2 linked regions of the Rhinolophus ferrumequinum genome follow. Each later gene encodes a partner of the first gene's protein in a complex. Links are inferred from orthologs where the notes say so. Each region holds a gene or a part of one and is shown on either strand. Other genes may lie near its edges.

Region 1 (15,586 bases):
GGTGATTTCTTCAGAAAGCAATGTTAAGCCCTCCTCCTTTCAGTCAGGGGTGAGGACCTCCTACATCACAATGACAACCCCGTGCTGAAAGCATGGGTCTGTGAAACCCAAGCAGGTGGCACAGCTCCAGCACAGCTGTGTCTACACTGTCTTCTGTGAGATGTCCTATGCACACTGCACACTAAGCGTTCTTTTGGGTTGCTCATGACAAAGCTGCAGAAGTTTGTCCCTTGTGCCACTCAGTTTACCTCAGATAAGGCAAGACAATCTTGTTTGCTCTAAGGCCCTAGTAGGAGTTTTTCTGCACTAGCAGTGTCTCCGAGTTAGGCAACCTGTCAAAAGCAAGGAACCCAACTTACTCCTACTGTGACTGATAGTTGTATTAACTGCCTAACAGAAAACCTAATGCTGTAAGTAGCCCAAAGGGGTGGGGAGTTCAAGTACCCACCTTCTTTAACTCTGAAAAGATATTATTTTCTAGATTTTTCTTCTGAGATTCCTGAAATCAGTACCCATTCTTAAAATCTTTGATTCTCAGACATGTCGCTGAAGTGAAGCCCTCTTTGCCACCTGCACCACACAGACCAACTGAATCAGCCAGGGCGTTCACTGAGATAAGCTGAGGTCAGTTATCCAGCATCCCGGATTAGTTATTGAACAGACCAACCAGTTCTGTGCAGTGAAACTCAGTCCCCCGGCCAGCGGCCAAGCCTCTGAGCCCAGGCACTCCACACGGCAGGACCACAATGTGAAGAATATAAGTGGGCTTAGTGCACAGTAGGACCAGTGAAAGGAAGAGCATCATCTAGTGATACTGGCTTAGTTGTATCATCTTAGTGTGAGAAAGAAACATGTTTCTAAAAACAAATCCCTCAAGTACAAAATTCTCTCAGGGATAAGACTGAGGTATTCAATTTATTCCCGTCATAGAAGTGTTGATTAAGCTTAAACTTTTTTGAAAAGTATTAAAAGCCAAGTTCTAGGTACAACCAAAATGCCTCTGAAACCACTAAAGATTAATTTTTCCTATTTAAATCTCTTAAAATATAGAAAAGATTTATGTTAGGAATTTGTGCTTTATCATAAAACATGTAATTTGCTATATTAACATGAGTAAATAGATGTATTCTATTAAAACAAACATGCATGTAAATTCTGTTGACGTTGCCTTCATCTCCATAAAAGTTATCATAATTTTCCTTTATGGTCAGTAACAGGACTAGAAGTAAATCAACCATTAGCTAATTCATCTCTTTAGGAATTAGTGTCTATTACCATATTCACAAGCTCTGACATAATGGAAAGGTAATATCTCTTTAACCATCCATTTTATATATGTCCTTTTTAATAAATAATAAAATCTGCTCTCTAGAAATTTAAAATATTAAAACACAACTATAGCGGTTAAGTAGGAATTGCATCACGTAGAGTGACCATCTGGCATATTTAGAGAGAACTATTTTATTCATATACTTTAAAATAAAATTAACAACCGTTGCATCTTTTCTAATCATCTTCATGACAGTTACCTGTCTAGCCCTCTTTCATCTCTAGAAAATTTCCCTGAAGTTTACAATTAGAGACTGTTGGAAGAGGAGGGACGGCTAGTCTGACCTCTTTGTTTTACAGATCAGTAAACTGAGGCCCAGGGCTGAGAAGTGGCTTGATCCCTATCACAGAACTGGAGGATGGCAAAGCCAGGACTGGAACCAACACCTCCTCACTCCACTCCAGCCCTCTCCTTACCCTCACAGGTTGTCTTCCTTACAAAAGGACATTTGGTGACGTGCTGGATGAATCTACATCGTGTCAGGTTTCCACCAGTTTCCCAGAATGATAATCTACATTCTGCTCTGTAGGTGAGCAAAGCCTGGTTTTCCACGTCATAGGCATAGCTGGTTCGAGGGCACTAACTAGGGACTGTGGTAAAACGAGGTCTGAAAGTCGGCACTGTCTGGAGGAAGTACTCATGAACCTGGGATTTTAGGTTCCACAATTTCAGCCCGAGCTAGAATTGCCTTCACTCCATTTTAAAGCAAAGCCATCAGAAAGTTAGCATAAGTATGGGATGTGGAGACCCATCACTGGGTTCCCAACATGGAGGGCAAGCTGGGCAGGATGCCGGGTCCACCCCAATCCACTCCTTCCTAAAGAGCATTTCTTACCGTCCAGCCATGGATCACCACAAATGTTTTGCTGCTGTGGTTGAAGTGGCAGTTAGCCACAGATTCTGTCACTCCAGGAATGAGGTGGCAAGTGTCCTCAGCTGTGTCTTCAGGCGTCCTTAGAGCAAATTTACTTTCAATGTCCATAAAATCATTTCCTCCCATAATTTCTGAGAAGGAAAAATTGAATAGGAAGTTAGCTGGAGGGTTGGGTTTTTTTTTTTTGGTGTTTTTTTTTATTTGCTGCAATGTTATGTTTCAGGTTCATAAGTAGCCACCACCAATACTATTTTTATTTCTAAAATTAAAAAAAAATGAATGTGGATTGCAAGAGAATGATTGATCCTCCAGGGGTAACCAAAGTTGACAGAGACAGCCTTAAAATAACTCTGAGTTAAGCAATATTGATCTCTCCTTCCATCCTCTCCTTCAGTCAGTATGTGTGTGTATGTGTATGTGTGTGTCTATGTGTAACTCTTATTTGAAATTCCTTAGTTAATTCAATCTTATCTCAAGATACGACTTGATCAAGGTCATGCTGCTAATAGTGGGAGAGAGAGTAGGGACCAGAACCCAGGTCTCTCGGTTCCAATTCAAAGCTCATTCTTATGGTGATCACATGATATAGTTCCACGTATTTCCTACATCACTTCACCCTTTTTAAATCCTGGATTACATCAAAGGAATGTTTTCCCATAATATGATTAATATGATACAATAAGTCTTATTTGAGGAAAGACTGTCTCCTTTTCACCAGCACAATTTTTAAAAATATTAGCAATAAGAAAAGCTAGTGGCATGAAGAAGCTTTTGTATGGAATGGTTCCTACCCCCATGGCAAGACACATCCGTTCAAAATGTTCAAAAAAAAAAATCACTTAGTGAATTGTTCAGAAATACCTGTGCTATATCTGTGCCATAGTTAACTCTTTCCCCAAATAGTTCTTTTCCCACTTACATCTTCACAGTCTTCCACACACAGTCAGAACTTAAAAAACTACTGCAAAGCTGGTTTGGGGAAAAATTCACTTTGGTTCTTCATAGTTAATCCCAAAATGAGTAAGAGGCGAAAGAGAACTTTAGTTTATCTCTCTCCAGACACTAAATCTAAATGATGATAAATTTTCACAAGGTATTTGTAGACAGTACATATCATATCAGAGTGAACACTAAAACTGTATTGCAGATGAAATCGGACTGTTGTACAAAGCAAGCACAGTCAAAGGGAAGTTATATTAAGGAAAATGATTGAACTTTTTGTCAAGTAAAAAAAAGTCAAAAAAACCTATCTATTCATTATTAGAAGGTAATAACTTGTAGATTTTAGATTTCATTATTTAAAATTTTCAGAAGATAAGTAACTGAAGTTGCTTAGAAATACGTCTAATTTTTTATCTAAATGTACTCACTTTTCATAGCTCAAAGGTTGAAAACCTGTTATTTCAAATAACATTGCAAAAGGGAGGCCGAAAATAAATATAAGAATGACATAAGGAAAGACAGTCATCTGAACCAACCTTATCATATAATTACCTGAGAACTGGCCAATATTTTCCTTTTTAATTATTTTTCAAAATTCCTTAAATAATATTGTGGTTACTTGCTAAGAGATTTATTATATGCAGCAAGTGGATCACACACACATACATACACACATCTCTAACACTTAAACATTCTTAAGATAATTTGTTCAAATAAGAGACTGTAGTAAACTATTGATATTTAAAGCTTTTTTTCATTTTTTCCATATAGTAAAATTGAACTTGAAGTCCACTTATCCATCAAGAATACACTCTGCCTTACATACTATTTGAAGATGTCGGTCTTCCTTTTTCTTCCTAACTGGAAAGCACACTGGTGGCCTTATTATTTATCTGATAGTGGAAAAAAATATTGTAGATTTTTAATCTGCTTCTGCTTTAAATACCCAAGAAGTTCTTTTCTTGTTAGAAAATGCTTCAGAAAATTTAAAACTAAATTAGTTTCACCTACATCTCTCCACATCAAATAACTCATGCCTCCTTGCGAATGGTCTTATTTTAACATGTTCGATTAGCAGTCTTTTTAAAGCAGGAATAATCTGAGCAACCTGGCAGACAGATCTCACCCACCACCTACTTGCCAAACGGATACGAAGACTCTTGCTTTGCACAACTCCACTCACTTTTAGTCTATTTTTCCCTAGAATTATACAATATGGTGGCCCTGGTGGTGCTGACGGTTTTGAAATTACTAAGAATATTATTTGTAATTATAAAGGCTAGCTTTGAACATTCTCTCTCTTTCTCTCTCTCTCTCTCTCTCTCTCTCTCTCTCTCTCTCTTCAATCCATAGATCCTGTATTAGATTATCTATACGGCTCATTGAGAGCTCCAGTTTCCTGCAATCAACATTTAATGTTGGGTACATAGCTTGTAAAGAAAAATAATGGGAAATTCATACATTCTCAAGCAAATTTGTATTTGGAGACTTTTATTTCACTTTCCAAGGAAGTTATTTTTCATTTTAAGTTATAGAAAGCCTAATGAAGCCTTTGACAGGAAAACAGTACCTACTCTATATAGTATGTGATTTTCAATTCTATGTCAGTTCAATATATGAAATCATAAACGACAGTCTTTCCTTCCCTCTGGTGTTCTGATAGGAATTTTCACACTACAGGTGTTTGTAACCCCTCAAGGATGTCTCAGCATCCTAAAGACAAATGTGCTTTACAAACCTCTACAGCCCTCAAGCAACTGATGTAGGCTGCATAGAGATAGGGAGATAGATGGATCCTGACTGTGAGTCGGTATGTTAAGTTGTCCCAATATACTCTAGGATTGCTCCTGCCTAGCAAATGAACTGATTTGACTTTGCTGTTACTAAGGAAATTATTGTTTCCACACATGGAAATGATATTAGTGACTCTGCATTTATTCTTTTCAGGGGATAAGGACCTCTTCCCAGGTCCCCTTAAAAATTAAAGCCATCTTAGCATAGTAAAAAAAAAAAAAAAGAAAGAAGAAGTAGGGGGTTACCTAAGGTGTATTCCTTCCTAAGGGCCTCCATCCTGAATTCAGCACCACCACGCCAACCTGACCCCACCTAATATGCCTTTATTAAGCACTAAGGGGAGATTTTGGGGTACCAGGCAAATTACTAGTTAATGCATTTTTTGACTATGTAATCTTTATTTCTAAATAGGTAGCTAAAACTCTAAGTGTGTACATAAAGACAAGGAATTTATCTTAACATGGATAATAACTCACAAGAATGAAATTAGGCTGAGAAGTCAAAAGCACTTTAAGGATAAATTTATAGGGGGTATATTATTGATGCTCGAAAAGAAGGAGCACAAAGCATCCCAGAAAAGACACTCTTAAGGCAGCTCAGTTATCAGATGTATAAGATTGACATTTATAAGACATGAGGTATAAGAGCTCAATTGTAATGCAATTCTCTTTGAAGTTTCTATTCTCTCTCTCTCTCTCTCTCTCTCTCTCTCTCTCTCTCTCTCACACACACACACACACACACACAACTCCTAAAGGACTCTATCCTAACTCACATCCTCTCTGAGATGGATGGGCACAGTTATTGACTCAAACAGCTTCTGTAGAATGCCAAGAAACAAGTCGAATAGATGAAAACAAAACAGTTTGGGGAGGGGGAAAAAAATCAGTATTGTTATCTGACGAACCGATTGGTCTTTTCAGGTATTCCAATGCAGACAATGTTCCTGACTTACCTAACAAGCAGATTTGCTCTTCATTTTTGTAGGGGAAAAAAAATGTTTGTAAAAATAGAAGCAGTAAACTGTATAGCCCAATTTTTCCTCCCAGAATAAAGCAAGAAAGGAGGACTGAGCTAAAAATACACTGCCTGAAAGAAAGTGAAAGTTTTCCACGTAACTCTTCCAATACAGCTGTCTATCAATCACTCCCTCACCGAGCTCTGCTCCATTGCAAGTAGTATCTGCTATTTTGCTGTCATAATCCATCATGTTTAATTCAGATGTTAGTCTGGAAATTCACTAAGTCCAGTCAAATAGAACCGCAACTACTGAGTACTGACCCATACATTCCATCTCCTAGTTCTTCCAGTTTCCTGATAAGGCCACACAGAGATTGTGGTGGCTCCAAGAACAAGGAACCTGAGGGCATTGCCTCCTATCCTCATATTCTTCTTACAATGAACTGAGAATAAGTAAAGTCAGAGCCCACAGGAGGGGCCCTTACACCTGTAGCTTTCGGCTATGAAATTCTTACATCTTAAATAAACTTATTTGGAGGAGAAAAGAAGCCGAAAGTTGCTGTGACGGGAGATGCACACTATAAAGAGGGGTTGTGTGGAGTGAGCGTAGGAGGGAAAGACAAGGGATTAATTTCAAGTCTACTTAAAAAATGATTCCTCCTTTAATACATTTACAGTCGGGAAAAGCATGTGTTTGTTAAAATCCAATTTAATTCATGAATCACGTAAGTGTCCATTTAAATCAAAAAGTAAGACTTAGAGGGGCCTATGAGAACTCTGAGTCTGGTCCAAACTCTTCATTTTAGAGTTGAGGAAGCCAAACTCGGAAAGGTGACACTGACTAGCCCAGGAATTTAAGGTCCTGAACCTCTAAGGGAGCCTAGCAAAAACTTAAACTGTGGTTGGCACATATTTGTGCGTGTTTTACTACACTATAGTGCACTTTTAAAAATAAGAATCTGGAGTTTGTTCCTACCATCTTCTTGGACAGCGTTAAATACTATCCAAGGGGAACATGCCTCCACATAAGAAGTTTAAGACTTTCTAATTGAAGCCCTGACAGAAACCGATCTGACAGAAAAGATACTCGTCTTTATTATCCAATTCAGCTTTCATGGAATCCACATTTTTTTTAACCTAACAAAAATGTTCTTTCCCACAACTCGGTACTGCGGTAAACTTTCAGCTACAGTAAAAGTCACGGACAAACTCGACTATAATTTGAACCACTGCGAACTTGCCGCCTGAAGGCGCATCCAAGCGACACCGCCCTCGCTGCAATTCCACGAAGGAAAGAGAAAAGAAAATGCTGCCTCCTTTCATGACTTGTTTCAGTTGCCTTTTTATAAAGTTGCCGTTGTATATTAGCTGAACCAAGGCTCAAGTTAAGCAGGCTGTCTCTATTGTGGGCAGGTCTCGGACAGGGGGCTGGTTCTCCCACCACCATCCCCCTCCACCTGTCTGCCTGCCCCGCACCTCACACCGCGATTAAAGAAATTTGCATCTGGCTTCCAACGCCCCCGACTCCCCGGCGATGACGAGTTCAGCCGCAGCCTCCCGGCGATGCCCCGAACGGGACTCGGCTCACAGGACGGTATGGATAGCCAAGTGCAAACCGTGCAACCCCTAGATCAGCGGCCACGTTTTCAAGAGGGTCACCCCTTCGCTAGATTTTCTGCGCGCTAAGAAGAGCGGAGCGTGCAAGAGTGGAAGGTGGGGAACTTCCGGCGCCGGAACGCGTGCAGGATGCCGCGTCCCCAGACCTCCGCTCCACGCGTCGCGCGTCCCCCACTCCCATCTGCACGCGGAGGGTGAGGGTATCCTGTGCCTCTAGGATGCGGGCAACCCTTCCTCCCGCCCGATTCCTGCTTCTCCCGGAGAAGGGGCCACTTTCTGCCCGCGCTCCCACAGGCGGGGCCCGAGCCGCAGCTGCTGCCACGCCAGGGTCACCTTGGCCTGCGTGCCTTTCATTCCAGTCGGTCACCGCCATCTGGGCCCTTCCTCCCGCCTCCCTCGTCCCGCCCCTCACACTCCCCCCGTCCCTTCCCGGCCGAGCCCGGGCGCCAGGGAACGGCCTCCGCCAGAGCGGAGGGGACAGCGCGGGAACCCGGAGAGAGCGAGAGAGCGGGAACTAGGAGCTGCCCCAGCGAGATCGGAGGGACAATTCCCTCCCCTCTCTCAGCGGATCCCGCCCCGATGACTTTCCGGAGCCGCACTCGGGCTGGAAGAGTCTCCGGAGCGCATCTGCACCCGCTTCAGACTTTCTCGTTCGAATCCTCACCATGCGTGGAAGTGGCCACTGAGCCGAGTTTACAGGAGGAGCGGAGTGTGCACGCAAAACTTACTGTCGGCGGCGGCCAGCCCTCCGCGGGAGGCAGTCAGACTCTGGAGGCACACGCCCAGAGCCACCAGGAGCAGCGCTTTGCTCCCCATCTCGAAGCGCGTCCCTCTCTGTAGGAGCTACAGGTCACGGGAAGAAGCGCGGACAGATTGATGGACCTCGGAGCCCGAGGCAGGAGTAGGCTGGAGCCGCGGTCCGGCGCCCAGCAAGTCGCCCTTTAAAAGGGAGGGCAGGGCAGCTAGAAGTGGCAGGTTTCCTCGGAGGAGAAGGAATCGAGTCTGACACTGTTTCCACTCCACGGCTACTTATGTGACTGGAAATATGCAAATAAACCTCATCACCTATTGGCTATAAAATCATAAGTTGGGGGGAGGGCCCTAAATTCACTTCCAAATATTTGAGCAAACTGTAGTGAGGATCAACCCTGCCAGCGAGAAGAGGGGGAAAGGGCAGAGAGAAATTTTGCTTTCACTGTGTTTCCTACTTGCTTTTCCTAAGGGGTCTGGCTCTCCAGGGCCCCCTGTACAAGCACCAAACACAGGTTTATGTGGATTTATATTAAATACTCCGCAACCACCAGTTTTCCACGGAGGACAAGTAAAGCTGTTAAACTACATTTGGGATGCTTAAACCCACTCCTCTTTTGATGGACCCTGTTTGTAACTTGCAGGGTTTTTTCCCCAAAATTCTCCCGGACAATATCAATTTAGGGATCCACAAACACACGGTTTTCTGCAGCTTGCGCTTGAACAATCTGGTATGTTAACATTGGCAAAATGGATTAGCTGATGTGGTGGAGAAAAGCCTTCTTGCTCTGATTACTAAGTTTTGCCTCGTGCAAATTATACTCAAACCCATCAAAGAATGCAAGTATAACATTTTATTCTCAGAGGCAGAATATTGAGGTCAAATAATTTAAAACTGTATTGTTATGCAAAGTGAAAGAAGCCAGTCACAAAAGACACGTATTGTACGATTTAATTCCATTTATATAAAATATCCACAAATAGGCAAATCTTATAGACAGAAAGTAGATTGGTGGTTGCCTGGAGCTGGAGAATGAGGTTGGGGGTGGAGAATGGAGAAGTTTGGGGGAATGGTGATGAAAATGTTTTAAATTACGTTATGGCAATGGTTGTACCACTGGGTAAACATACTAAAAAAACATTAACTTGTACATTTTAAGTGAGTGAACTTTATGGTGTGTAAATTATATCTTAATAAAGCTATTAACACAGATGCATTAAGGTATGTAAGTAAAAATAATAAGAATAATGAAATCACGTGGGAAATTGTTTTTTTGTTGTTTTGTTGTTTTTGTTTTGTTTTGTTTTGTATTTTTGCCAAAATGCTCAGAATACTCTCAAATGTCTTTTTAAGTATAAAGGATTTGCATTAGTCAGAAAGGACAGTTTAACTCTATACTCTTCACTTTATATCTGAGAAATAGATTCAAAAATAAAAACCTTCAATTCACTGTCCATATTGGATTATTTCTCTGAACATCTTTATTGCTTCCTTTTACTCATCCCTCCCTCCATCTCTCTCTCTCTCTCTCTCTCTCTCTCTCTCTCTCTCTCTCTCTGTCTCTCTCTCTCTTTCTCTCTCTCTCTCTGTCACACACACACACACACAATCTTCATTTGTATGTTAGAAGGATGAAAGTCCATATGATTTAAACGAGGCTCACATTTAAAGTTTTTCTCAAAAATGAAATACACCTGATAATACCCATATAATTCAAAGTGTGTTATTCTATAGAATAGAATTCTATTTTTAAGTTGATGCATTAAATGGCACAACACAATATATTGTCCTGTATTATTGTCTTGCAATTATTGAACAATATGTTGTGCACATTCATCTCACAGAGCATGTGGAGGAATTTTGAAACCTGCCAAGAATTAATCCCCTCAAAAGAACTTTAGAAGTGGCAAAACAGACCATGCAGGTGATGAGTAACTATGATGTGACAGTCCTCCAAAAATTATATAGTAAAGTCTAATTTTAAAAAATGACACGAGGTGAGTACAATTGTGTGTGGTCAAGGTTTAAATGACATATAAACAAAAGTGCAAAATGCCTACTATCTTAAATAAAATACTCATGCAGTCTATTTTCACACATTAATTTTTTTTTAAATCATTTGCTAAGACAACCAAACCATCAGCACTTCTGTGCCTTTCAGAGAACTGCAAGAAGATTGCCTGAGGGAAGTCTGCTATATGTTTAAAATGATTTCTCAAGTTAACAGATAACAAATTCAAAGCAATCAAGAGTTAGAGTAATTCTTCATATATATGAATATGAAATATACACATGAAACCGGTTTTGGCATGGCCTCTAGTGTTACACTGCATGTGCATTCGAATTGCAGAGATTTCCAGGAAGAATTAACTCACAGCAGCTCAGCCTGTTGGAAAAAGCAGATGGATTGGCTCCAATGCGAGGGCAGGTGGTGGGCCGGTGGGTGTGGCGGCAGCGCGCTCTCCTGATTGGCTTTTCTCGGAGCGATCAGATGCCTGCGTTCTCGTGCAGAGGCTCACATGACCTCCAAGTCCAGACTGCATGTGCGTTAGCGAGGCGCCTCATCCAAGCTTCAGCAAGGTTATTTGATCACCCACACCGTGAGGTATGACGGTTTCTGTAATTGACATTTCCTTTGTAACAGACTTAAAAAGTTTCAGTTTAAAAGAGGCTAAGCTTTTTATAGATGTTCAGCAAACCAGTACTCATGACTGGACGTCTTCTCCTCGTATGAGTTTAAAATGACGTAAGTAGAAAGTTAATTGTGTATACCTAAAGAGACTGCCAGAAACTCCAGAACTCCACATGTAGGGAAACTCTCTCTCTCTCTCTGTTTCTCCTCCTTCCTATCTATCATCTCTTTCTATCATCTATCTGTCCTCTATCATCTATCTAAGTATCTATCTATTATTTAGATTGAGGGCTTGCTATTTGCACACACTGGGCACTTTTCAATCCTTTCTGTATGTAATCATTACAAAAACACGGTGAGCTTAATAATATTCCCATTGTACAGATGAGGGAAGATAAAATTCAAGGAAGATTAAATAACACTAACCACAATTCATACAGTGTTTTTTTTCTTTAGTGATCCCAGAAAAGGAGGAAAATGTATTTGATGTGTTATGTTAGAATGTTGCTGTAATTGCAAACCGGAAAAGCCTGGGAAGCAGATGTGTTTTGTACATGCAGAGCTATGATGAAATGCCTGGGCTCTAAAAGAGCATCAGTACTGAAATGTATCTGGTGTCTATCGCAAAAATTATGTTTAATGTAGGAAAAGAGCATTACTGGTACAAATGAAATTTACAAATACAAAATCATAAATATAAAAAGGTTTTTAAAATATTTTGACTTTTAATAAGAAAAAAACAAAACCAAGATGTTTACTAAAAATTCCCATAGACTTTTCCACTGCTACCCACTTATATCCTGGCCTTAAACTGTAAACAAGGAGGAGCGCCAGCTGTGTCCGGATGGAGATGGGATGTGACAGGGTGGGGATAAGCATGAGGTCATAGCTGTAGGAGCTGCCCTACTGGGTAGTTAAGTGGAGCTATTGATCTTGCAGGCCTCTTTGATTCTTTACCCAACAAAGCTAAATTGAAAAAATTCCAAGTAGCAGTTCAAGGGACAATTAAACTCAGAGGGAATATAGTTCTCCATTGATAAAGTTGGGTGTCCTATTCTGGAAAAGTTAAAGTACAAATAAATATTATATTTAGCCAATTTGTTACTGTCTCCTTCCTTCACCCGGTTTGCTTTGGGGGTGAAGGAATTGTGAGGTGTGGAGAGAACTGCTTCAAATAATAAAAGTGTGTTGTTAAATAATCCAGACATATTCTAAGGATTTTGGTTTTCTTGATTTGGGGATATTCATTCCCTCCCCTCTTCCAAACACAAAAGAAACAAAAAACAAAGAGAAAGAAGGAAATCATATTTTAATATCAGAATTAAAAGATTTGTCTAAATAAAGTGAAGAAAAATAAAAGATATACAAATTTTTTTAAAGTGAATTTAAAAAAAAAATAGTGTATTGCAATGGCCTGTCCTGGAACAAGGCATTATGGTAAGGGGGACACGTCAGAACATACCAGAGAGACAGATGCTGTCACAGAGAAGCTACAACAGGCCAAGGGGGAGAAGGATTCCGGCCTTCCCTAGTAGACAGCTAATACAAACTAAAAAGAATGTCCCACAGATAACCTGGATTTATAATCCATGTTTATTTATAAGTAGCTTTTTTCTCCTTCCCCCACCAAAAAAACTTAAAAACTTAAGTTCTCGAAGGAGACTTTCTATCAGACCTAGTTAATGACTTTACTATGCAAGACCATGAATGTTTTTTGCGGAGGGCTTTATGTTCTGAGATAACTTCAGACAAATCATCAAAGCCCTAGACTGACAGGAGTGGACCTGACTCTCAGCACAGACATGTTTGAAGTGCCCCCTGCTGTCTTCCTAGGGACACTGTAACATATCAAAAAAAAAAAAAAAGTATTTTAAGGGGTTTGAAACAATTGACTTGAGTAATCATTAAGCTCTTGTATTGTTATTGGAACTTTTCTTGTTTCTTTTGTTAAATTATTTATAACAATGAAGGAAGGTATTGCTCTTCTCACCTCTGTGGTACTTCCCACAGCATCAGACTGAGAAGTTAGGTGGTTCTCAGTCAATAGTTGTTAGGTGAATTAATAACCCTGAGTAAAAGATGATCCAGTGCTAAGTGGGAGAGAAAGCAGGATATTATTTTATTTTAAATTTTCACTAGATTTAGTAATTATGAAACTTGAAGACACACCACACACACACACACACACACACACACACACACCCTCCTTGCCATGATCTAGTCTACTTGGACCAAATCTATCCAGTTAGGGAAATGGAGGACAACTTCATTTGACTGAAGCTTTCTGTTGGCCTTATATACTTCTCTTCTTCCTTTTAATTGAATTTGTCGTTATAAAAGCTATAATATACTCTTGACCAAAATAAAACCACAAAAGACAAAATTTCAAGCAGTACAAAATTGTGTGCAAACATAAGTCTTTCTCTAACTGCAGACTTCCAATGCTCTAATCTCTCTCCAGAAGCAACTAGTTCCCTTTCTTGTGTATCTTTCTAGAAAAGTCTATATGCATTTACAAGCATAAATGTGTTTGTAAATGTGTGCATGTGTGTATATTCATCCACATATTCACAGCTTATTTTTTACAGTAATGTCAGCATATTGTAAGCACTGTTCTGAAATTTATTTTTTCACCTAATAATGTGCCTTGGAGATGAGATCAAGCAGTAGGGCCCCTTTGTTTCTTTCTTTTTATGGTCATGTAAGATTTACGTCTATGGTTATACCATCATTTATTAAACTAGACACCTATTAATAGTTGTTTAGTTCTTTTGATAATATTAACCACGTTATAATAAACAAAGACAAATTCTTTGAAGTTATTCAGTCAAAAAGTATAAATATCTATCATTTATCATTTTAATAGTAAATCCACTGGGTCCTCTAATGAAACTGCACAAATTTACATTTCTACCTACAGTGTAGAAGAGTTCATTGGTTGTGGACATTCTAAACTATTTAGTGTCTCCCAACCTGGAAAGTGAAAAATGGTCTCATTTTAAATTTCATTTTAAATAATAGTACCTAACTCTCATGTAGCACTTGCTATGTGCCAGGCATTCATTATTCTTAGAACTTGGCATATATGACTGATGTAATATAAAAACAGCTTTATTAAGATACAACTTACATATCACACAAAACATCCATTTAAGGTACAATTAAATTGCTTTTAGTATGTTCCCAGAGCGGTGTAAACATGACCAATTTTAGAACACTTTAATTACACCCGAAAAAGCTCTGTACCTTTTAACTGTCACCCATCACCTCCCTCCCCCACCGCCAGCCCTGAGCTACTTTCTGTTTCTATAGATTTACCTATTCTAGACATTTCGTGTACATGGAATCATATAATATGTGGTTTTTCTGACTGGTTTTTTGCACTTAGCATAATGTTTTCAAGGTTCATCCATGAGTTGAAGCATGCGTCAGTACATTCCTTCTTATTGTCAAATAATATTCCATTGTATGGCTATAACACATTTTATACATCCATTTATCAGTAGATGTATATCTGGGTTGTTATCACTTTTTGGCTACAATGAATAATGCTGCTATGAACATTTGTGTACAAGTTTTTGTGTGGACAATATATTTTTAATTCTCTTGGGTATATATGGAGGAATAGAATTGCTGGATCGTGTAGTAATTCTGTTTAAGTCTTTGAGGAACTACCAGGTTTTAAGTACCTCTTTCTCCAAAGTTTCCCAGATTTCCCTCTGAGAGTTTGTCACCATCTCCTTCTGTTGCAAATTAGTGTTCATTTCTTGATTGTTATAATATGATATTATTTGCTGTCTGTCTATTGCATGAGACTGTGGCCTCACAAAGTTGAGGATGAAATCCATTCATAGCCTCTGTCTCCTTAGCACCAAACACAGAGCTGGGTACCAAAGTAGGTACTCAAATATCTATGCGAACAAATGATTGAATAGCAGAAGGAAGGAAGGATGGAAGGAAGAAAGGAAAAAAGGAAGGAAAGAAGAGTTTAAAAGGTGAAAATCAGTATATACTGTAAGGTATTTACATTTATCTCAAAACTTATTTTCTACTTTCCTTGGCAAAATTGTTAAATAAAAGAGCCAGAATTAAAAGGATAAACTGAAATCTTTGAAATCTTAAAGAAGTTTATGTATGAATGAACTTAACAGTGTGGCTCTATTCACAAAGGAAGTGAAGATAAATGCCAGAAGTCAGAACCAAATGAGAAGGATCCAGCTCTGAGTTGTATTGTCCTAAACAATTGTGATTATATGGCAGTGGTTTTACTTTTATTACATGACTTCGATATGGTATAGCAACTGATAAATTTTATAGGTGATTTTTTTCTCCTACTTGAATTGATATTTTAGTGTAAAACTAATTGCCATTTTTATAATTTTTTGTCATCAGTGGTAAAGTTACAGTACTATTTTATCAAAAACTTGCGTACACGTCCAGTGCCAATTCCAATACCTTTCATTCAAGATATTTAAACAGTCTAATAATAATACAATATATCACATAAGAGCAGATTTCACAGTTGTAAATGCTAAGGCATCATACTCAGAATTGAGAATTTGCCTCGACCTGGCCTGATTCTCAAAGAACCCTACAGGAAAATCAGCACACCAACTGATCTTCAAAATTATTTCTAAAAGCTCTACTCTCTAACTTCACGTGTCAATCACCATGTTTCCTCTCATT
Region 2 (15,421 bases), on another chromosome or scaffold:
TCGGGGCTAGCTAATGGAATTCCAGCATTAGGCCTGGAATTCCAGCATCGGCTTGGATAAACTTCAGGCTCCATAGACGCTGGCGAAAGAAATCTACACGAGATCAGGAGATAGCCCTTTCCTCTGTGCTCCCAAGAAAGCACAGCATCTTCTGATCCTCGAGCTCCACTACAGAGGCGTTCCAGCAGAAGCATCTCAGGGCTGTGCTGGTTACCCTACATACAAGGGGTCCATAACCCAGGGAGCCCGTCTTACCCAAAGTGTGGTGCTCCGGGTGATAACATCCCAAGTGACACATGCCTTGCGGTGTAAGTACTTTGAATTCTCTCTGTTAGGTCAAAGGGGATACCCAGGCTCCTCCCTTCTCTCCCACACATAGAAGCAACACATAAAATGGCTGCACAAATCTCCCAGCAAGGAGTTTGAGGGTCTGGTTTCTTCTAAATGAAACGTTTAGATACACCTGATGTGGATTCCAGCCAGTGTCACTCAGAGGGTTCTACTGGATGTGTCTTCTGGGAGGAGGCCATTCTCAGCATCAGGTGGGAGCCAGACTGAAGATGAAGGAAGGTCACCTGTGCTGAGGGGAGGCTGCAGAAAGAAGGGGGCATGTGTCCTAGGGAGGGTGGGTGCAACGAGGGCCGAGGAACACAGCACCAGTCAAGCAGGCAGGAGTTTGAGTTGGGGTCTAGCTTTGGGAGGAAAATGAGGTGAAAACCACGAACCAATACGTAAGCGCAATCAACCCTGGTGCCCTGGTGGTCGCCGCTCTGCAAGGCAGGTGCAAACTCACCTGGGCCCTATGTCCACCCCACTCGGCCCCTGAACCTGCGACCTGAGGCCTGTGTGGGGTTGCTCTGTGCTCCAAGCACTGTGCCCCCTACCAGGACTCTTGTCACTCCACATGTGGCTTGTCACTGATGTGGCAGTCTCCCTATGAGGCAGAGTTCTTGAGAGCAAGGAGCATGTTTTTTTGTCCCTGCGTCTCTAGTTACTTGTCTAGAGTCTGTACTTATCGGTGCTCAGGAAACCTTCCAATTATTTTGTCCGCCCAGCTCAAGGTGGCAGGTGCTTAATGGCAGGGATTGGATTTACTCCCTTCTCTACATGCCGTGCACACCAAGGAATAAAACAGTTGTTCAAAACGGAGTAGACTAGAGGTCATCGTCTTGGTCCCCTCGTGTCACAGGCCTGTAGACACCGGTGACTGCTACCGCCACACAGGCAACTCCGTCCACATGCGGGAGCAGAGGAGGGCTCTGGCCCAAGGCTGGGTGCTGGTACCTGTTGTGCAACTTCAGTGTCGTTCCTCTGCTCTCTGGACCGGACCTCTCGGAACAGGCAGCTTTGGGTATCCAGCAGCAGCCGGGCTCCGGGAAAACTCACTCACCCAAGCTCCCTCCAGGAGCCTGGGTCTCAAGGAGAGACCGGATTACCAGTGGGTTTGAGATCCAGGCACCCATGCCAGGGGATTGTTGGGGCCAACATGACGCAAACAGTCTGTTGGGCCCCGGCCTGCAGCGGCCAGCAGCTGTGCTGAGGCCAGGGACAGGCGCCCCGCCGCCGCCGCCGCCGACGACAGAGCCTCGCCAGCTGCGCGTGCAGGGCCCGGGGCGACGCCTTTACGGAGTCCTCGCGCAGCCTCCACCTCTGCCCGCCGCGCCTGGCCTCGAGAGCGGGAAGCCGATGCTTTCGGCCGGGGGCCCACGCCACACCGGAGGGACCCAGGTTGTCCCTGGCTGGAGGCGGGGCGCGGGCGTCCCTCGCAGGGGCCCTGGGCGGGGCCCTTGCCAAGCCCCGCCACACCCCAGGCCTCCTGCGCCGGCCCTGGGGGGCTGCCCAGCGGAGAGCCCGGCCTCGGCACCCGCCGGAAGGTCCTGCTGCCGGGCCCGCCCCTTTCCGGTGCCGCTCTAGGAGGCGAGGTCCCCGGGCCTCTCGGTGGTCGGCCGCGATGGGCTCCGCCCCCGAGCAGACTCCTCCCACCCCACTCTGGTCCCACAGCCCCTCCCTCAGTCTTGCCTCCCTCTCGCCCACCCTTTCGCCCCCTCACTCACCTCGACACCCCCTCATTCACTCTTATGCCCCCCTCACTCCCTCCTGCACTCCATCCCTCACCCCCGCGCCCTCCTTATCTCAGGTTTCTCTCTGGGAAGAATGATGACCGTGAATAAGGGGGAACCACGAGTGGAGGCTTTTTCCGCGTTACTTCCTCCACAGCTCCCCCATCCCCACCCCCGGCTCCATTCTCGGAGGTCGGTCGACGCCAGCCCTGGTCCCACGGGCAGCTCCCGCTCAGTACACCTGAGCACAGCCCACGAGCTTTTCAGGGCCCCAACACTTCTCCCTCGGGTGCCTGTCCCGACGCAGAAAGCCTGTGTGCTGGACAGCGCCTCGAGTGCGGGCTGGACCAGATGTGACCCTCTCTGCAATCAGGAGCCCTGTGATATACACACGAGCCCGAGGTCTCCCCTCTGCTCCGGAAGGTCCCGGGTAGGACCTGAGTGTGCTGACCTGTCCCTGGTCCCAGGGCCCCTGCAGACCCCAACGGTCACGAGGGAGGAGGGCGCCTCTCGGAATCTCCATCCTCAGGAAAGCCCTGCTTTGGGGTCATCCTCTCATCCTCATCCCATTCTCATGGTGGAGAACAAGGACTGGAAATGCGCCCCGCGGCCACCTGCTTCCTGTGCCGGCAGAAGGAAGTCCCAAGGAGCCAAGCCTGGGTGGGGTGCAGTCAGCGGAAAATGGCAGATGACCCAAGGAGGGGAGGACATGGGCAAACAGGACAAAAACGGGTGTGGTGGATGGTAGGAGGGGAGGGGACCCAGGGTCTGGGGGGAGGACGGAGGCTGCAGGGGAGGGGTGCCCAGGGAGGGTCTGTGCCAGGATGGGACCCCCCAAAGCCGCTGGTCCCAGCTGGCAGGTTGTGTGGGCCCAGAAGAGCAGGGAAGGAGACAGTGTCCTCCCTGGGTGGGGGACACAGGGCCCTGAGGGGGCTCCAGGAGCTGGTTCCAGGGTAGGGGTGGTTAGGCAGGTTGGGAAGGGGTCCCTCAGCCCCATGGGCTCATTCGTTTCCTCCCCATTAGGAACGAGTGGGTATGAGTGGGGGGTCACTGAAGGGAGCAGGACCAGAGAGCAGGCCCAGTGCCAGGAAGAGGGACAGAAAGGACGCCTCCACAGGAGCCGAGCCGCCACCTAGGGCCAGCTCCAGGGCTCAGAGCAGGGACCTGAGCACACAGAGACTAAACAAACAGCTTGTCGAGGTCACACAGCGGGAAGTGGCTGATTCAAACTGGAGGACTTGCATGTGTCTCAGCCCTGGGGACTTCCAGGCCCCTCTATTGTCTTGGGGTCCCTCAAGTCACACTGAGAAAGGGCGGGAGGCCTTGGCAGCATCTGAGCTGCAGGACAGAGCCCTTACCCAAGGCCAGCAGGCTCTGGAAATTTCCAGCATCAGGCTCTTGAAGGCCAAACACCTGCACGTGCCTGGGGTGAGGTGTGTGCTCTGGAAGGTCGCCAGGGCCTGAGCCCTGCCTCCTCTGTGCCCACAGGTCCCCCTTAGAGCCCAGTGATGAGTGGGGGTTGTGCTTTCTGCTTCCCCAGGGGCAGGACTGGGGCCCCAGCTGCCGGCCTGGCCCCAGGACCCTGGAGAAGAGGATGTTCCCAAAGCAGGAGCCCACGGCCAGGGCAGCCCCTATGGCTTCAGACTGAGCTCGCAGACCCTCTCACATCTGATGCAAGGGCCTTAAAGGGGGGTCATCTTTGGGGAGTGTGGTGGGTGGGGTATGTGCACTCAGACCTCTGCCAGGTTCTAAGGCAAGGGATGAAGGAAGAATTCTGCGAACACAGGTGACAGCACCCAGTGCTCCTAACGCAGGCAGGTGAGGCTAATGAGGTTTCCTTTGATCGTAAGGGACTCTGGTGGGGGATCCCACCACCATACACACAGGTGGCACCCAGGGCCATCGTGGTCGTGTTGACAGCAATAGCTCATGTTTGCTAAGCGTACTGTGCCAGACGTGGGCTCTAAGCCCTTTACATGTGGCACTTCATTATTCTCCCTGCAGCTCTACTGGGGGGCTCACCTACCCTCCCACTTAGCAGACAAGGAAACCAGTTGGGGAGGTGAAAGGGTTCACCTGGAGATTGAATGTTCACTTGGAATGTGAGCTGGAGGGCATGGGTCGAACATTTGAACCCAGGCAGCATGACCCCTGAGCTGTGCTCTCATCTGATGTAACTTAACAGGAGCTGTCTGTGAGCGAGTGTCCATGAGTGTGTGTGAGAGTATGTGAAAATGCAAGTGACAGAGAAACCTAAAATAACTAGCTTCAACACAGCAGAAGTTTATTTCCCTCCCAGGTAATGGGGTTCTGGGTTAGGCAGTGCAGGGATGGTAGAATGGCTTCAGGTCATCAGCGATCCAGGCCCTTTCCTCCATGCGGCCCTGCTGTTCTCAGTATGCTGCCTCATGGTACAATGTGGATGCTGAGCTCCAGCCATCATTCCAGCCAGCAGGAAGGAGGAAGGGGAAGAAGCCTGCCACCTTTACCTGCTAGATCTTGAGGTTTCCGTTAAGGGAAGGGGAGAATGGAGAGTGGAAGGCTACACTTCCTGCTGGGGAGGCGACAGGCAGGAGAGGGCTCTGGACCTCCCAACCCAGGGATGTTGAGCTGGTGGGGATCTAAGGGCCCTCTAAGCCTTGTTCCATAACTGCTCTGATGGGGAGACTGAGGCACAGAGCTCTGTCCTGGCACCAAGTGGTGAGAAAGCAGAGTTTGGTGCAGTCAAGAAGGCCAAGTGCCCAGCTGCCAACCATACAACTCAGCCAGAGCCAATCCTGGGGGACCCACAAGGCCTGGGCCACCCCCTGGCACAGGCAGGGCTGGGCTCACCTACTCAGCACTCTCCCACTGTCCCGCTCCTTTTCTCAGGAACCTACAGGCCTGTTTCACCCCCCTCAGCACACTGCCCCCACCATTCCCCTCTACCTATGCCCACCAGGCTGAGGGGCTGGCTGGAGAGTCCCACCCTAACCGACCCTCCTGCCTCACCCTTTTGTCCTGCTCTTCCAGCCGCCCTTCATTCATGCCACCTGGTCCCCACCCACAGCCTCCTGCAGGTGGGCTGGGAGGCACATGAGTGGATGGAGGTGGGAAGCTGGGGAGGGAATGGCATATAGTGCGTGTTTTCTCTGCCTAAGCCTGTGGACCTGCCCTGTGAGAGGCTGAGGCCTGGACCTGAGGCCCATGTGCTGCCCATCCCGCCACCGGGGCCGTGGGAAGAGGGCAAGGATGCCAGAAGGGGAAAACGAGGAAATGAGATGGGCTGAGTCATTAAAGGCACTCCAAGTTTATTCTCCAGAGCTGCTGGTGATGAGAGGGGCAGGAGGGGGAGGATTGGACAGGGTGCTGGCCCACCAGGGTACAAGACAGGCGGGGGGGACACGGGCGGGGCGGCCACAGTCAGGACGCCATTGCCCACAGGCCAGTGAGGAGACTGAAAAGGAAGGCGGCGGCCACAGTTTCAGGGCTGCCCTGGGGGTCTCCTGCGCCCCTGGCCAGGAGGCCTTGCCAAGGTGGGATGTTGCACAGGGTGGTCTGGCAGCAGGTTGTGGTCATCAGGATCTCGGCTACCTCTCTGGTGGAAGGTTTACATGTGTCTGCACACCACCCGGAGTAGGTAGTCCAAGGACCCGACTCTGGTGGGGGCGGTGGAGAAAGAGTGTGTCACACTGGAAAGGCCCGGGCAGGGATGAGGCCCCCCGAGGGCTGTGTGCCTTCCGGGTGCCAGGGTGGCTGCTCACCAGTATTCCCCTGGGAGCTCAAGGTTTTGCAGAAGGGCTGGCTGAGGGGGCAGCTCCGCATCTCCTTGCAGTCTTGTTCCTCATGCAAGACCTTGCAGGAGTAGCACTGCAGCCATCCTGTGTGGCAAGGGGGGCTCAGGCCAAGCGCCACAGTCCTCGGAGCCCCCAGCTCACCCGGGAGTCCGAGTCCGGCCTCTTCACCGCCGAGACCTCCTTCCACTCCCTGTTCCCCTTGCTGTTCTCAGCTGATGCCCACAAAGTCAGCCCTGCCAGAGCCTCCCTCCACACCTCCTCTGGCCTGCAGAGCCAAGGCCTGGGGTGAGAGAGCCCACAGGGTATGGGTGGAGGCGGGGGGCATGCTGGGGGTGTAAGGGGCAGGGCTGGGCTGGCAGCCCTAGGCCATGCAAGTTGGATGCTGGTGACGCCCTTGGCTTTATCCTCGGGTATGGGACAGAGGAAGCGTGGCCTCCATGTCACGATGAGGGGTGGGGCGTGGGTCTCATCTCTCACTCTGTTTTGTTCTAAGCCATTGTCCCTGCTCCCTGTCACCTGCAGGAGCCTATCCACCCCGTTGACCCAGGGCCAGCCCACCTTCCCCTGCCCTGCCCTGCTCCAGAGGGCCTTTCTGCTCATGACTCAACATCCAGGGTTTTGTATTCATTGTTCTCTCCATCCTGAGGCTCCATTGAGCCCCTCTCTGCTTGGTGAACCCCTATTCAACCTCTCTGCCCAGGCACCGTTGCCCGTCCCAGTAGGAGCTCCTTCTAGGCTCCCTACCCTGGATGGCACTTGAAGGGCACAGCCAGGGTGAGTGAGGTGAGGGGTGTGCTGAGTGTCGGGGTCCCCTCCTCACCCCCTTCCCTGCCCCGCTGGAAGGCAAGCTCACAGGCGGCCCTTGCCTGTGCGTCCACATTACTCCAGCCCCACACCCAGCCTGGCACTCAGGGGCACCCTTAAGAAGTACTGAAAGAGGGGCACGGATGCCTACGGTGGGGGCCGGGGTGGACAGGTACCTCTGCCGCCGCTGCCTGCCTCGTCTTCCCTGTCGTCCTCGTCGTCCTTATCATCCTTGTCGTCCTTGTCGTCCTCATCGTCCTCGTCATAGCCAAAGTAGTCGTCATTATCCTCATCCTGTGCCCGCCCTCTCCCTGGCCACGCAGGGATGCCGGTAAACCTCTGCTGTCCAGGTGCAGAGGACACACGCTCGGCGCCCAGTGCCGAGCCCCCAGTCCTAGATCCGGCCTGTTCCCATCCCTCTGTCCTTCCCTGCCTGCAGCCTCCCACACAGGCAAGGTCGCTGTCTGGGTCTCCACAGGCCCTGGCCCCGTACCTGACTATGACCAGGCACTGTCTTTACCCCCAGCGGCTGTGGCCGGCCCTTTACAGCAGCTGCCCGTCACCCCGCCTCTGAACCCTCAGGGTAGCCTGCCCATTCTACAGAAAAGGAAATTGAGGCTGAGAGAGGAGAGGGCACCCCAAAGCCTGCATTTCGGAGAGGCCAAGCCTGGGGCTGGTGGGGAGGGGAGCCTGTGTCCCCCAGGAGTGGGCCGGGGCTGGAAGTGTAGAGGTTTGGGGACCTATGGGAGCCCACAGAGCCCCCATCCACCTCCCTCTGGCCTCAGACTGCACCCTCATCCCCCTTTCTCCCAAGCCATGTCTTGTCCCCAGGATGGGGTCCCAGACTATGAGGTCCGCTGTCATTGCAGGGTCGTCCCCTTGCCACAAGTACCTGGTTGCCTGCACAACAGCAGGGCGAGCAGGACAGCCGGGAGCACCTTCATCCTGCCAGGAGCTCTGGATCTGCTCACTTTGTCCTGCTGGGGCTCTGCATCTGTGGGAAATGGGACAAAGAGTACTGCTGGGGGCTTCCTGGAAGCCCCTGGGCCTGGCCCCCCCCAGCTCCAGCCTCAAACAATGGGACAGTTTCCCTCCTGGACTTCAGGGACCCAGGGGAAGGGAAGTCAGTGTTGGCCTTGGGTGTCCTGCCCATCTGTGCTGCTCTGCCCTGACCTGGCTTTCTGGCCCCAGTACCCGGGGCTGGTGAGGCTCAGGACCAGACTCCACCTCTGGCCCCCACAAGACCTGGCCGCTGAGCTGGACAGACCCTTCCGCTGACACCCTGGGCCCTGTTCTCCCCTTTCTCCAGCTCAGCCCAAGTGCCTTGAACCCTGACACTCATCTTGCTGATCCCCACACAGAGCTGGGGAGGATGGCTGATGCCCTGTCTCTCCAACCAGGCTGGAGCTCCCGGAGGGCAGCCTGATCTTGGCGTCCCTGTGTCCCCACTGGCCCCGGTGGAACTTGCCGGTGCCTGGAGATGGCCACACCCAGGACAGCAGGTGAGCAAGGGAGAAAACACAGACATGCCAGTGCTGGAAAGGCAGTGCAGGGAGCTCACAGAGGGGTGGAGGAAGGCCACGCGATGGTGGGAGCGTGTCCGAAGTTCTAGGATGTTAGAGCTGGTGCACCTTGAGTGTGAGCTAGTCCTGGCCCCTCCTTTTATGGAGGAAGATTTGGTGCCTGGGAGAGGAGTGCCTGGCTCAGAGCTGCCCTTGACTCAGTCCCAGATGTCCAGGCTAGCATTGATGTTTTTTTCAGTTCTTAAACTTTCTCTTTTTTAAATCAGACATTTTTTTCAAAGCAATTTTAAGTTCCCAGCAAAATTGAGAAGATAGAGAATTCCCATATACGCCCCCACCCCCGAAGTGCCTACCCCGTTATCAACGTGCCCCACCAGAGTGATACGTGAGCTGCGCCGACACATCGCAACCACCCCAAGTCCATGGTCCACATTAGGGTTCACTCTTGGTGTTGGACATTCTGTGGATTTGGACACGTGTATGATGACGTGTACCCACCATTATAATTTCATGCCAGAGGATTTTCACTGCCCTGGAAACCCTCTGTGCTCCAGCTGTTTATCTCTCTCCCCCCGGACCCTCCTGGCAATGACCGATCTCGTTACTGTGTCCGTCGTGTTGCCTCTTCCGGAATGGGTACCGTTGGAACCATAGACTGTGTGGCCTTGTCACGTGGGCTTCTTGCACTCAGTCATGTGCATTTCAGGTTCCTCCACGTCTGTCGTTTCACGGCCTGACAGCGCATTTCTTTTTAGTGCTGAATACTATTCCAGTGTGTGGACGGATGGACCACAGTTTATCCACTCACCTCCTGAAGGACATCTTGACGGCTTCAAGTTTTCTCAGTTAGGAGTAAAGCTGCTTAAGCGTCCATGTGCAGGTTTTTGTGTGGACAAGTTTTCCGTGCCTTTGGGTAAATGCCAACACTGAGGTTGTCCCCCAAACATCCATCCCTCTCCTCTTGGTGACCCATCACCCCAGGGGGCCTCAGCTCCAGGGAGGGGGCTCAAGTCTGACATCATTGCTGACACCTCCCCTTTCCCAGTACAGTCTCAATGGGCTCCTGACACCAGGCCCAGAGGAGTGCGGCACCCTACGATGGGGGCTTCCAGGACCTTAGGGAATGTCCCCCACACACTGTGGACAGGGAAGCAGATCTGCCACCTTGAGCTCTTGGCTGCCAGGAGCCAGGTGGCAGCCCCATAAGGAGCTAGGCTTGCGTTGAAGCCGATCTGACTGAAAACTCCAATGTCAGCCTCTGTCTTCACATGGACACTCCCTGTGTGTCTCTGCCACAGGGCTCCCTGTCCTTTGTCTCTTTGTCCTCCCAGACATTGGATCTAGGGACCACCCTAAAACCAGGATGACCCCATCTCCAGATCCTTAACTCCATCCACAAAGACCTTTTGTCCAAATAAGCTCACATTCACAGGGTCTGGGAGTTAGGATTTGGATATCGTTTGGGGTGCCGCATTCAGCCCAGCCCACATACTATCCCTCCACTGTTCTGGAAGTCAGGGATGTTCTCCGTCTCAGAGTTTGACAACCTTTCAGGAAACAATCGCTGTGTGGATGACACAGAGTATCTCTGTTGACCCTTGCATGGCCTTCTCGGTGAGGCCAGGTGGTCTTTTGAGAAATGGCCCTTCTTCGTAACAAGGCCTGCAGCCACATCATCCAGGACAGCCAAAAATACGTGGAGAAAGCTCTGCTACACATCTCTGCGTGACCCAACCTCACCCCTCTCCTGGTCAGGGCCTGACCCAGAGACCTGTCCCCTCTGCCCGGGAGCACAGGAAGCTCAGCAGCCAATGGCTGGAGAGCAGCAGCCTCTAACGCTGTCCTTGGTTCTGACCACCTGGCTCTGCTATGGGTCGGGCTTGCCAATGGTCCTGGATCCTGAGGACAATGTGAGACTTGGGCCATGGCCATAGAGTCGCCCCACGCTGTGGGTACTAGTCAGAACGACACAGAGTAGGGTGAGAACCCAGTGCCTGCTCCCCAGGATCAGGGCATCTGGGCAGCTCAAGCTGGGAAAAGGGAGGTCAAGGCCAGCTGTCACCAGCTCCCTGCAGGGACTGTTCAAACAGAAGGGGCCCAAGCCACACAGTGACATGATCTGCCCTCATTCCGTTAAAGAAAACCCTTTCTTTTGCAAACCAGGATGGACTGGTATTCTTGTTTGCAAAAATTCTAATAGGATGAAACTGTCCCACATACATAGGGAGGAAGGCAGAGTAGCTTGGAAACCAGAATAGGAATCTCTGTTTCCCTGGCAACCAAGCCTAGAGTGGGAGAGCACCGGTCTCTGCTCTCTGGGGAGCAGGCCCAAAGCTGCATTCCCCAGGGACTGGCCCCAACTCCTTGGACATTACTCTTTGGACACTGGGCATCTGCCCCCTGCCCCCAATATATCTAGCCAGGCCCCAACCACCTGTCTTATCTTTTGCTGCATAACAAATTACCCCAGAATTTAAGGGCTTAAAACAACATTATTTGTGGCCTCACAGCATCTTGGCCAAAGGAAAAAGAGCTTGGGAATGGCTTCAAGGTTAGTGGTCAGTGATGTCTGCAGAAATGGGAACAGAAAGGGTTGAGGCAAGGGACGGACATCATTCACTGACATGTCAGAAGATCCCTGTGGCATGTGTATATATATATATATATATATATATATATATATATATATATATATAGAGAGAGAGAGAGAGAGAGAGAGAGAGAGAGAGAAGGAGAGGGAGAGAGAGGGAGAGAGAGACTTATTTTAAGGAATTAATGAATTAATTCATGCGATTATGGAGGCTGGCAAGTCCAAAAGCTGTAGGGTGGGCCAGCAGACAGGAGTCAGAAAAAGACAATGTTTCAGTTCAAGTTCGAAGGCCATCTGCTGGCAGAATTCCCTCTTGCTCAAGGAAAATCTTTTGGTCTATTCAGGCCTTCAACTGATTGAGTGAGGCCCACCAGCACGATGCAGAGCAATCTGCTTCACTCGCCGTGCACTGATGTAAGTGTGAATCCCAGTTATTTTCCTCCAAACACTTTAAAGATATCATTACACTGTCTTTTGGCCTTTGTTGTTGCTGTTGAAATTGTGCTGTCAGTGTAGCCACTATTTTTTTTTTTTTTAGAGTTGATCTCCCTTTATTTTGGTTGTTTTAAAATATCATCTTTTGTCTTTGGTGGTCTGCAATTTCACTACGTTGTACCTAAGTGTGGGTTTTCTTTTTGTTTATTCTATTTAGTCATGCTTCTCTGTAAATACTTATTTTTCACCAATTCTGAAATATTTGGGGGCATAATCTCTTCAAATATTGACCTCTCTTTCCTTTTGGGACTTCAACCAGTCTTATATGAGCTATTGACACACCATCTTTTGTGTGTCTTAACTTCTCTTTCTTATTTTTCATCTCCTTATCCCTGTGCTACATTTTTGATAATGTCTTCAGATTTCTATTCCAGTTCACAAATTCCCTCTTCTGTTGTGTCTAATTTGCTGCCTAACACATTTGCTGAGTTTTTTTTACAACCATTTTATTGAAATATAATTCACATACTGGAAAATTCACCCTTTTTAAGTATACAACTCAGTGGTTCTTAGTATATTCACAGACTTGTTGCAATCATCTTCACTATCTATTTTTGGAACATTTCCACTACCTGAAAAGACATCCCTTGATCATTAGCAGAAACTACCCATTCTTTCCTCCTCGCCGCTCCAGGCAACCACTAATATACTTTCTGTCTCTTGGATTTTTCTAATCTGGACATTTCATACAAAGGAAACCACACAGTACATGCTTCTTTATTATTTTTATTTTCACTTAGCATAATTTTTTCAAGATTTCTGCTGATCTTTTAATTTCGATGAAAGGTTTTTCATTCCTAGAGGTTCTTTTTTTTTTTCCAGCTAAGCATGGTCAGTTTTAATAGTGTTCCTTCCTTTAATATATCTTAAACCTATGAAACAGTTTGATTTAATATTCTATATATGATACCTTCGATTTAGAAAGTTTGTGGGAATTTAAACCTGTCACTCACCACGGTTTCTGCTGTGTCTCACTTTGGAGGCTATTTCACTTGGACGTTTGCTGATTTTTGACTTCCAGCTCATATTTGAGTTCTGCTGAATCTGCGGAAATCCCCGTTCCCAAGTCATGGTCCCTTGTCCATCTCCTCCTTTGCCTTCACTCCTGCTGCTCAGCAGTGAAGTGTTCAGGTTCTGCAGCCCAGGGCTTAGGTTCCAACGTGGCTGTATCTCATGGTCACTGTCACACACACTTTGTGACCATGGCAGGGAACTCAACCTCTGGGTGCTGTAGTTTCCTCATCTATAAAATGGGAATGATGACAATACCTGATGGTAGGGTTGTTGTGAGACCGTGATGAGATAACACACACACAGGGATCAGAGCACATGCATGAGCTCAGTGAAGGCTATGATTGGGACATAGAAGTGACCATCATCCGTCTAATGTAAGATTGGGGCGGCGGCAGATACCCTCCTCTCATCTTCTTGTAGGGGGTCCCAGAGCAGCGCTAGGCCAATAGTGGGCGCTCCATCAATATTTGCTGGACAAATGAGGACAGGACGAAAGGAAGGACCCCCACACTTGCCCCAGAGACGGATTCCAGGCACAAGGGACGCAGGTGCAAAGGCGGAGCACACCCACAGCTTTGTGAGCAGGGAAGGCGAGAGACAAAGCTGAGAACCCAGCCGGAGCGGGGCCAGATGGCCTTGATACCCCGCCCAGGCTGTGGGACTTGCCCTCAGGTGTGAGTGTTGTTGGAGACGGCAGTCCCCGGGGCTGCGGCTGCTGGTGGGGATCGTCATGGATGTTCAAGGGAGAACAGCCTCGAACACTCACAATCGGAACCTAGGATGGGGTTGCGGAGGGGAGGGGCCCCAGGGCTGCGAGTCTGTGAACAGGCACGAGTACCTCCCCTCGTTAATTCCCTCCCTCCTCCTCTCTGCGTCTTTGTGCGTTTTGCTTCAATTCGCAGTAAACGTTCTTCCGAGAAATATCAAGGGGACCTCAGCCAAGCAGAGGGGGAAGGGATCCTGCCCACGCCTGGGTAGGGGGAGGTAGCAGCGGTGGAGAGAGTGGGAACCGAAGAGGGTGGGCGCGAGCGGTCAAGCGGCGAGGGGCACAGGACCGCCCGGGACAGCTACCTGGCGCGGACCTCAGGGCCGCGGGTGCTCCCCGCACGCCTCCCGCCGCCCCCGCCCCCGCGAACCCCCGCCCCAGTTCCGCCCCGCCCCTCGCGCGGGGTCCGCGTCTGCGGCTGCGTTCCCCGAAAGACGAAGCTGCGCCCGGGTTCCGGTCCGCAGGGAGACCGAAGGGCACCGATCCCCGCGCCTCCCGGAGCCTCGGAGTGCCGACACCCCAGGGATGTGAGTGTGCCCCCGACTCGTGACCTGCGCTCCACGCTCTGATCAGCGGTGAGCGCAGAGATGCGCGCAGGGCAGGCGATGGGAGGGGGCTCAGCGCGGGGTTCCCGGCCCCCCAGCCCAGGGGTGGGGGTGGGGACGTGGCGCTCGCCCCTCCCCCCATCGGCAGGTACCGTTCGCTCGCACCTTGCCCTGCCCTTTTCTCTCCGGACGCACCTACGGCTCCCCAGGGAGGAGGAGACGCACCCCCGATCTCGCCCCCCCATCCCACAGGTGCTGGGCGCGGGGTGGGCACATCTCGGGTTGTACCTATTCTCGCTGGAAGAGATGCTGTGATGATGGACAGACACTCTGGGGGATGGGCTGGGGGTGGGGCTTTGCGATCTCCCAGACGACCCCGCTGTGTATTCCTGCGAGGAGGTTGCATTTGGAGGCCAGAAAAAGAGGGTCCTTCGGGCTCGGCCGAGGGCTGGGTCTGCTGACCGAGGCTTCTCCTTGCCAGGCCTGCGCCCCAGAGGACCCCCGCCCGCAGCCCCTGCGTCTTCCCAAGGCCCGTCTGGAGCATGCTGCCTGCAGCCATGAAGGGCCTTGGCTTGGTGCTGCTGGCCGCTCTGCTGTGCTCTGCGCCCGGTGAGTCTGGGGGCAGCCCGCCCTGAGGTGGGCCAAGTCTTCTGGAAGATGGGGCCGTGGGGCCGTCATCCTCCGATGGTGCCCATCAAACCCACATCCCCTCCCCAGCCCCTGGGACTCCAGTTCCTGTCTCCCTCCCTTGCACTGCTCCAGCTCCAGCCACGCGGGTCCCTGCGGGCTTCGGAGCACTTTTCCTCCTGGGCCTTGCACCCGGACTGGTCCTGCACGCTTGTCCCTCGCTCAGTGCAGAGGTTCTGTGCTCCATCACTCTCAGAACCCCACCTGGCTGCCCATCAAGTCCTGTTTGGTCCTTTGAAGCTTAGAACGTTGGACTCTGGGATGGGGAGGGTGAGTGCATGAGGGGGTCGGAGTGTGTGGGAGGGCACCACAGGTGTGAGGTACTTGTGGCTGTGTTTGGGGGGGGCCGGGAGGGGGCACAGGAATTTCCAGAGTCCCAGTGGTAGAACCCTCTCTGCAGACTCCTGGGAAGGGACACAGGTTCTCCCAGGGCCTGCCCTCCAGGTGCCAGTCTGACCTGGTCACTGCTGGCCGGAGGGTGTCCACCCCCCCACAGCAGCACGGTTGTCCGAGGAGCGCCTGCAGCAGGCAGGTGGGGAGGATGTGGGGCTGGCCGGCCTGGCCTTCAGTTCCGCTGGTCATCCTCCTCCTCGGGCCTCAACCAGCTCATGGCCTATGGTGCCAGGACTGCACACTGACCACCAACTCCAGCCATTGCACCCCGAAGCAGTGCCAGCCATCGGACACGGTGTGTGCCAGCGTCCGGATCACGGATCCCAGCAGCAGTAAGTCAGGACGTGGCCCGGGGTGGGGAGAGGTTGGGGATCCTCTGAGCCCCTCTGGCCTGCTGTGTGACACTGAGCAGGTGCCTGTCCTGCCCTGGCCCCTCCATGGCCCTTTCCACGTTGTTGGGGTAGCATGGGTGGGTTGAGAGCCTCAGCTTTGCTGTTCTGGGTCCCAAGCTGGGTCCTGGGCACGAGGCAGAGGGCCCAGCTGGGGCTCCAATCCCAGGCTCCCCTTCTTCCTCAGGCAGGAAGGACCATTCCGTGAACAGGATGTGTGCCTCGTCCTGCGACTTTGTTAAGCGGCATTTTTTCTCAGATTATCTGATGGGCTTCATTAACTCTGGGATCTTAAAAGTAGACGTGGACTGCTGCGAGAAAGATTTGTGCAACGGCGTGTCCGGGGCCAGGGGCAGCCCCTGGGCCCTGGCCGGAGGGC

Evidence for each region.
Region 2: the proteins of LPL (region 1) and GPIHBP1 are in contact, whole or in part, in a crystal structure (PDB 6OAU), measured with the Homo sapiens proteins. The link is inferred for Rhinolophus ferrumequinum from reciprocal best matches to the Homo sapiens genes LPL and GPIHBP1. Residues at the interface, in NP_000228.1 of Homo sapiens: Tyr367, Gly368, Thr369, Ala371, Glu372, Glu374, Leu403, Met404, Lys406, Lys430, Lys440, Ile443, Cys445, Ser446, Arg447, Glu448, Val463, Lys464, Cys465, His466, Asp467, Ser469; in NP_835466.2 of Homo sapiens: Cys68, Lys69, Ser70, Leu92, Ala94, His95, Gly96, Asn97, Thr98, Glu99, Ser100, Leu103, Thr104, Thr105, Ser107, Trp109, Cys110, Thr111, Asp112, Ile117, Lys119, Val121, Glu122, Thr124, Val126, Met128.

What each region holds. Positions count from the first base shown.
Region 1 is NC_046301.1:52,060,786-52,076,371, reverse strand, and holds the start of LPL (lipoprotein lipase), read right to left. Parts: upstream 8,623-15,586; 5' UTR 8,334-8,622; coding exon 8,246-8,333; intron 2,336-8,245; coding exon 2,166-2,335; intron 1-2,165. UniProt on the Homo sapiens protein: Key enzyme in triglyceride metabolism.
Region 2 is NC_046297.1:72,417,476-72,432,896, reverse strand, and holds GPIHBP1 (glycosylphosphatidylinositol-anchored high density lipoprotein-binding protein 1), read right to left. Parts: upstream 7,635-15,421; 5' UTR 7,585-7,634; coding exon 7,533-7,584; intron 6,952-7,532; coding exon 6,817-6,951; intron 5,921-6,816; coding exon 5,804-5,920; intron 5,699-5,803; coding exon 5,463-5,698; 3' UTR 5,345-5,462; downstream 1-5,344. Other genes in the region: LY6H (lymphocyte antigen 6H), read left to right, coding at 11,166-11,167, 13,493-13,555, 14,055-14,182, 14,866-14,985, 15,230-15,421.